Linked DNA regions of Pelodiscus sinensis. The protein of the gene in region 1 purifies or fractionates together with the protein of each later gene. This does not show direct contact. Links are inferred from orthologs where the notes say so. Each region holds a gene or a part of one and is shown in the gene's direction. Other genes may lie near its edges.

Region 1 (3,743 bases):
GGTGGTGACAGGCGGAGAGGGCATTGGGCGGGGGTGGAGCTGACAGGCGGAGAGGGCGGTGGTGACAGGTGCAGAGGGCGGTGGGCGGGTGTGGCGCTGACAGGCAGAGAGGGCAGTGGTGACAGGCAGAGAGGGCGGTGGGTGGGGGTGGCACTGACAGGTGGGGTGGGCGGTGCTGACTGGCGGAGAGGGCGGTGGGTGGGGGTGGCACTGACAGGTGGGGTGGGCGGTGCTGACTGGCGGAGAGGGCGGTGGGCGGGGGGTAGCGCTGACAGGCAGAGAAGGCGGTGGTGACAGGCGGAGAGGGCATTGGGCGGGGGTGGAGCTGACAGGCGGAGAGGGCGGTGGTGACAGGCGGGGTGGGCAGTGGGCGGGGGTGGCACTGACAGGCGGAGAGGGCGGTGGGCGGGGGCGGTGGTGACAGGCAGAGAGGGCGGTGGTGACAGGCAGAGAGGGCGGTGGGCGGTGGTGACAGGTGGGGTGGGCGGTGGGCGGTGGTGACAGGCGGGGTGGGCAGTGGGCGGGGGTGGCGGTGGGCGGTGGTGACAGGCGGGGGGTGGCGGTGACAGGCGGGGTGGGCGGGGCGGGGGTGACAGGCGGGGTGGGGTGACAGGCGGAGAGGGCGGGGGTGGGCGGGGGCGGTGGTGACAGGCGGGGCGGGGCTGGCGCTGACAGTTCGGGGGCGGTGGTGACAGGCGGGGTGGGCAGTGGGCGGGGGTGGCGGTGGGCGGTGGTGACAGGCGGGGGTGGCGGTGACAGGCGGGGTGGGCGGGGCGGGGGTGACAGGCGGGGTGGGGTGACAGGCGGAGAGGGCGGGGGTGGGCGGGGGCGGTGGTGACAGGCGGGGCGGGGCTGGCGCTGACAGTTCGGGGGCGGTGGTGACAGGCGGGGTGGGCGGTGGGCGGGGCGGGGCGGGCCCGGCGCTACCAGGGCGGGGCGGGCCCATTGCCGCAGGGAGGGTCCCTTGCCCATTGCCGCGTGTCCGGGCGCGGGGCTCAGGCGCGGCCCGGCCGGGGACTGGCTGCAGCGCGCTCCTCCGGCCGCCAGGGGGCGGGGTCCCGGCCGGGCCCGCTCGCTGCGCCCTCGGCTCGGGAGTCGCCGGGAGACGGGGCCGCGGGAGCGACCTGCCCCGACCCGCCGCCCATGGAGCCGCCCGCGGCCTGGAGCCTGGACGTATCCGCGGGACCCGGGCGGGGGGGGTGTCGGGGGGGCTGGAGGGACCCGGGGCGGGGGGGGGTGTCGGGGGGGCTGGGGGGACCCGGGGCGGGGGAGGGGTGTCGGGGGGGCTGGGGGGACCCGGGGCGGGGGAGGGGTGTCGGGGGGGCTGGGGGGACCCGGGGCGGGGGAGGGGTGTAGGGGGGACTGGGGGGACCCGGGGCGGGGGAGGGGTGTCGGGGGCTGGAGGGTCCCGGGGCGGGGGAGGGGTGTCGGGGGGGCTGGGGGGTCCCGGGGCGGGGGAGGGGTGTCGGGGGGGCTGGGGGGTCCCGGGGCGGGGGAGGGGTGTCGGGGGGGCTGGGGGGTCCCGGGGCGGGGGAGGGGTGTCGGGGGGGCTGGGGGGTCCCGGGGCGGGGGAGGGGTGTCGGGGGGGCTGGGGGGGTCCCGGGGCGGGGGAGGGGTGTCGGGGGGGTGGGGGGTCCCGGGGCGGGGGAGCGGTGTCGGGGGGGGCGGGGGGTCCCGGGGCGGGGGAGGGGTGTCGGGGGGGGCTGGGGGGTCCCGGGGCGGGGGAAGGGTGTCGGGGGGGGTGGGGGGGTCCCGGGGCGGGGTAGCGGTGTCCGGGAGGGGGGCTGGGGGGTCCCGGGGCGGGGGAGGGGTGTTGGGGGGGGCTGGGGGGTCCCGGGGCGGGGGAGGGGTGTCGGGGGGGTGGGGGGTCCCGGGGCGGGGGAGCGGTGTCGGGGGGGGCGGGGGGTCCCGGGTCGGGGTAGCGGTGTCCGGGAGGGGGGCTGGGGGGCTCTGGTGCCGTGGCATTGCTGTGTTCCTTAGCCGTGTGCCCATGCGGTGGAGGTGAGAGCAGGACAGAGGGTGCCCTGCGTCCTGAGCCTCTCCCAGCGCCGCGGGCAGTGCGAGTGAGTAGCGCACACGGGTGGCCGGGGTCCACAGGGAGGTGGGCTGCCCACGGTGGCCGGATTGCACAGAGGTGGCAGGGCTGCGCTTTGGGGGTACTACTGGATAGGAGTCAGGGTGCAGCATCTTCCTTGCCCTTGTGGGGCACAGGAATTGTTCATTTGTCAGCTGGGCTGTGTTGGCAGACGGCTGTGTAGTGTTTGGGGGAAGGTGAGCGTATCCCATGTTATTGTAGGGGGTGAAACTAAGTTCCTCTCTCTTGTGTGGGCACCTCTTCCATGGCTCTCGCTCCATTCCTGTGTCTCCGGAGTCGGAGGTTACACTACTAGATGAGTTAAAGCTGTATAGCTTTTGTGGGTAGGAAATCCCTGAGAAATGGAAAGGCCTGTCACACTAGCAGCACACTTGCTCTTGGAGTCTTGCCCCTCACTTTGGGGATGCTGTCCTCTTACCAGACAGAGAAGTGGCCCTGCTTCCAAGTGTTAGGTCCCTAGTCGACTCCCCATTTCTTCTGGTGTAAGCAACTTAGCATGCTTCCTTCATCATGTGCAGATCAGGAAGCATCTTTGGGAGCTTTTCTTCCAGACACATATTATTGCATGCATCTGTCTGTATACCTACGGATAACTGTTCCTCCCCACTGTTCCCACCAACGTAGATCAAGAGCAGGGATTGAAGGGTCTTTGGTTTCAGGAGAAATACAGCCATGGTGTCAGCAATACCTTTTGCCCATGAATCTTTTAGTTTTGGAGCTGTTCTGAGTCTTCCCCTTCTCTCCAGGTTGGTTATCCATTCGCGGGAGAAGGACACACCTGATCAGGATAACATTCCCATCAACAGCCGCTTTAGATGTGTTCAAGGTACTGATGCTCCCACACCTGCCCCTGTACTCTGCAGCTAGAAACCCGCTGCTTTGTTGTCCTGGCTGTACACATTGGAGTTTCCTTGTGGAGCTGAAACTCAGGGCTTATAATTACGGCTTCCTGCTTCTTCCTTCTCCCAAAGCTGTGTGGGGAGTTGGTGGATCTCAATATAAATATCGATGTGTGGATGTTTGGCTAGTTCAGCTGCCAGCATGAGGAGCAGCATATGGAGGCCAAGTGAAGGCTGCGTTTTGGTGGCCCCCATGACGGGAGAGGGTAAAAAGGACAGGATGTGCTGGGTCCTATGAGATTCTGAGCCCCCATGGAACTTTGAGGGTAGGCTGGAGGTCTCATGGGATTTGGAGCCACAAGTTTTGTCATAAAGCTACAGGCCCACTCAATGACCCCAGCTTTGGAACAGCCTCAGGGTATGTCTACACTACCCCGCTAGTTCGAACTAGCGGGGTAATGTAGGCATACCGCAATTGCAAATGAAGCCCGGGATTTGAATTTCCCGGGCTTCATTTGCATAAGCCGGGCGCTGCCATTTTTAAATCCCCGCTCGTTCGAACCCCGTGCCGCGCGGCTACACGCGGCACGAACTAGGTAGTTCGAACTAGGCTTCCTAGTTCGAACTACCATTACTCCTCGTGGAATGGGGCACGGGGTTCGAACGAGCGGGGATTTAAAAATGGCGGCACCCCGCTTATGCAAATGAAGCCCAGGAAATTCAAATCCCAGGCTTCATTTGCAATTGCGGTATGCCTACATTACCCTCCTATTTCGAAATAGGAGGGTAGTGTAGACATACCCTCTGAG
Region 2 (3,743 bases), on another chromosome or scaffold:
CTTTGCTACTCCTGCTCCATCCCACCCGCTGCAGCCCCACTGCAGTCCTGCCTAGGGTTGCCAGATGGTTTCAACAAAAATACCAGACACACTTGACATGACATCACAATTTAGAAAGTACCGGACATTTATATTTTCTCAATTTGCTTCCCGAACAGAAAGCTCATATACTGGACTATCCGGTTCAAAACCTGGCAACCCTAATCCTGCCCCCTACCCCTGCTCCTCCCACCCCCTCACTGCTATCCTGCCCCCTACTCCTGCTCCTCCCACCCCTGCACCCTCACTGCTATCCTGCCCCCTACTCCTACTCTTCCCACCCCCTGCACCCTCACTGCTATCCTGCCCCCACCCCCTGCACCCTCACTACTATCCTGCCCCCACCCCATACCCCCTCACTGCTATCCTGCCCCCTACTCCTACTCTTCCCACCCCCTGCACCCTCACTGCTATCCTGCCCCCTACTCCTACTCTTCCCATCCCCTGCACCCTCACTGCTATCCTGCCCCCACCCCATACCCCCTCACTGCTATCCTGCCCCCTACTCCCCCCACCCCCTGCCGCGCTGCCTTCCCGCATGTGCTCCCTCTCCCCGCTGCTAACCCTCCGCGGCCCCGGTGCCCTGCCCCGCCCCCGCCCTACCCGCGGCCACGCCCTCTTCTTTCAGTCGGGTTAGTGAGTCGCCCGAGCTGCCACGTCTCACGGCTGACGTTACCCGGCCGGCTCGCTCTCAACCAATCCAAGCGGCGTCAACCCAAGCGAGAAAAGAAAGGCTCGGGACTGCGCATGCGCCGCGGCAGGCGCGGGCTGTGCCGGGAAGACGAGTCCCTATCTGGTCACGGCTCCAGCGGCTTGGAGGGGCAGGCTCTGCGGCTGGAAACTCGTTTTCCCAGCATCCCCCGCCGCCGCCCTCCCACCATGTAAACCCTCCTTGGGGAGAGGTTTCCCTGTTTCCTGGTTCGGGGCTGGCAGCCATTTTGGGTTGAGGAGCTCGGAGCGGAGGCCGCCGCCGCCTGCGAGGGGAGGGGGGAGAAGCTGCTGCCTCCGCTGCCCCGTCGGACGCCCGCATCCGCGCAGCTCCCGCTGGGGGGGGTCTGGCCGCCGCTGCTGCTCCTCAGAGCGAGCTCGTTCTCCAGAGGCCGCGGGTCCCCTCTGACATGTCCAGCATGAATCCCGAATAGTGAGTGGGGCCGGCGCTGGGGGGGGGGGGGGAATTTAACCGGTCGGGGGGGGGGGGCTGCGGAAGGGGGAGGCCGCCGCTGCGGGGCGGACAGGCGGGGTGGGGGCCATTGTGTCGCCTCCCGGCGAGGGGCGGGCCGGGGCTGTAGTGGGGAGGGGGCAGGGTGTGGGGCGGTGCCCCAGAAGTGAGAGTGGGGCGGGGGGAGGCGACATGCGGCCGAGGGGCAGGTATCCGGCTGTGGGAAGCGTTGTGCAAGAGCCAGGTGGCAGCATCCTCCAGCCGGGGTGAGTGGCCCCGAGCACCCGATTGGCCTGCGGGATGGGCTGGATCGGTGTGACTGCGCGGGCAGGGCAGCGTCTCCTGCACCTGAACCGGCAGGGACAGGTCACTGCGCTTTGTACAAGGGGATCACGGGGGGGGGGGGGGGGGCGATCCTGAGGTCACCGGCTCGGCTCTGGGGCGCTCCAGCCTGTCAGACACCAGGAGCGATTTGTGCACAGCCCGGGCAAACTCACTTCCGTTTTCCTGAGTTATTTAACAGGCTGCAACGCCAGAGTGGATTTTGCTCAGTGCAGAATGTGACTGGAAGACCTACCCCGGATGAATGGAAAGAGAAACAAGTGTGATTTCTCTGGAGCGTTTAGGTTGCTTACAGCAATCCTTGCAGATGGGAAGTGAAGAGGTCTCATGCTTTGTCATGAAAAGCTAGTTGTGGTATCTTTACTAAACTGAGAAGCAGTAGAGCAGACATTCATAGCGAACTTTGTTTTCGAACTTTCCTCCAAATAACCATTGCAGGAGAGAGAAGAACCCCGTTTGATTTTTAAAGTAAATCTCATTGCCATTATTTGCTCAAGACTTTACTAAAGCTTGTTCGGTCACTAAAACATTATGTTTCCACCGGAGAGGAAGGGGACCAATGATTTAAAAATCCAGAGTACTTGGTTCTTGTGAAAAGCTCTTTCTGACCACTTGCTGTTGTTGGCAGCTTAACATGCAGAAGTCCACCCTTAATTTTTGCTGCAAGTCATGTGTGTGTCACATGGTTCTTGCAAAACACATTCTTGCTTATGTAGATTTTGCAATACTGTGGCTTGATAGTGAAATGTTGCTATAGGTGATGCCTTGAAGTGGGGATACAGGCATTATGAATGAGAAATATCTTATACTAGTCAAAATATTACCACTACAACCCTAATGACAATTTATTTGATCACCTTAAGTCTTAAGGTTTTGTTTTTTGTTTGGAACAGTCAATACTTTGGGAGTAGAGATGATTGAGGTCCCTAGTTACTGTTGCCAAGAGACTGCTGATTGTGAAGAATAGTGTGGCTTTGCCACCTCTAAAGTTGGACAATACCTTTTTTCTGCTCTATTTTTTCCAGTGTAGAAGAGAGGGGAATCTGTGCTTATTAAAGGGCCTTGGCTTAAAAGAATGTTGCTAATGCTACAGATACTGAGATTTTTAAAATTAACTTTATTTTCTTCTGGCTTTCTCATGCTTGGTTTCAGCTTGGGGTAATGAAGCTAACTTTCTTTTGCTATCCACTATCCCAAAACTGCAGCATTTGGAATGCAAGAATGATTGTTATGGACTGACTTTATTGGCTATACTTAGCTTTTCTTACCAAAGTTAAATCTGTACATTCAGAAATGAACCTTTTATTGCTCTACAGGTTTGTTCTTACATATTTACAGCTCTGTAGTGGTGGTTTTTTAATTCCTTGCTTGATGTATGATCACAACCTTGGAGGGTTTGTGCTGTTTAATTGAAAGCAGCCTTAAAATGAGATTTCTGAAGAGCTGTAAATGGTAAAAATCCTTCAAAGGGTCAGTCATTGCTGGAAGGGAATTAACTTCACCCCCAAATTAAAGATTAGATTAGTTCTGGGTCAGGTTTAATCTTGGACTTCAAGACAAACCAGAATGTTTGGCTTGTTTCTGTGTTTTAGAATTATGTAACACGTTTGGATTTTCTTGTTTCTTCTCAAAACTACTTCTCAGGCAAAGCAGTGGTTAAATATGATCAGTGAATGTGAAGACTTTCATTTATCAAAGCTTTTCCACGATCTTTTATGCCTTTCTGAAATACCCAGTAACCTGGAAAACTGCCTACAAGATCTAATAAATAGGCTTCAGCAAATGTTATAGTGAAAGCTTCGCAGTTACACCAACTATTGGAGAAGTTCAGGAACACTTGATTAAAATGTTGTAACATTGAACAAATTGGCGGAGAGTAGTCTTTTAAAAAAAAAAAACCCTCTGTTCCTTATCTGTATGAAAGGATGGGAAGTAGCTGCACAGACTGGCTTTCAAATAAAACAGTTTACACGTACTCGTGTCATCTTAATGTGACTAGTTTTCCAGTGACTAGTTGGCAGCGACTAGTTGGCAGGTAAGTAAACAAAACAAGGAGGAAAATATGGTAACATTCCAACTTTAGTCTTAATTATGAGACTTCCTATAATGAATGTTCTGGATTCCTACAACACCGGGGGCAGAAACTATCCATAATGCAGGATCTCTGACTCTTAAATGTTTGGGGTAGTGTTTCTTGCAGGGA

The links. Proteins that work in one complex are often made in the same cells at the same time.
Region 2: the proteins of OCRL (region 1) and RAB1A purify together in Homo sapiens (co-immunoprecipitation; 3 studies listed by BioGRID and IntAct, with this or other methods). This does not show direct contact. The link is inferred for Pelodiscus sinensis from reciprocal best matches to the Homo sapiens genes OCRL and RAB1A.

What each region holds. Positions count from the first base shown.
Region 1 is NC_134723.1:1,985,984-1,989,726, forward strand, and holds the start of OCRL (inositol polyphosphate 5-phosphatase OCRL), read left to right. Parts: upstream 1-989; 5' UTR 990-1,143; coding exon 1,144-1,173; intron 1,174-1,992; coding exon 1,993-2,063; intron 2,064-2,841; coding exon 2,842-2,921; intron 2,922-3,743. UniProt on the Homo sapiens protein: Catalyzes the hydrolysis of the 5-position phosphate of phosphatidylinositol 4,5-bisphosphate (PtdIns(4,5)P2) and phosphatidylinositol-3,4,5-bisphosphate (PtdIns(3,4,5)P3), with the greatest catalytic activity towards PtdIns(4,5)P2.
Region 2 is NC_134713.1:183,936,558-183,940,300, forward strand, and holds the start of RAB1A (ras-related protein Rab-1A), read left to right. Parts: upstream 1-929; 5' UTR 930-1,157; coding exon 1,158-1,180; intron 1,181-3,743. UniProt on the Homo sapiens protein: The small GTPases Rab are key regulators of intracellular membrane trafficking, from the formation of transport vesicles to their fusion with membranes.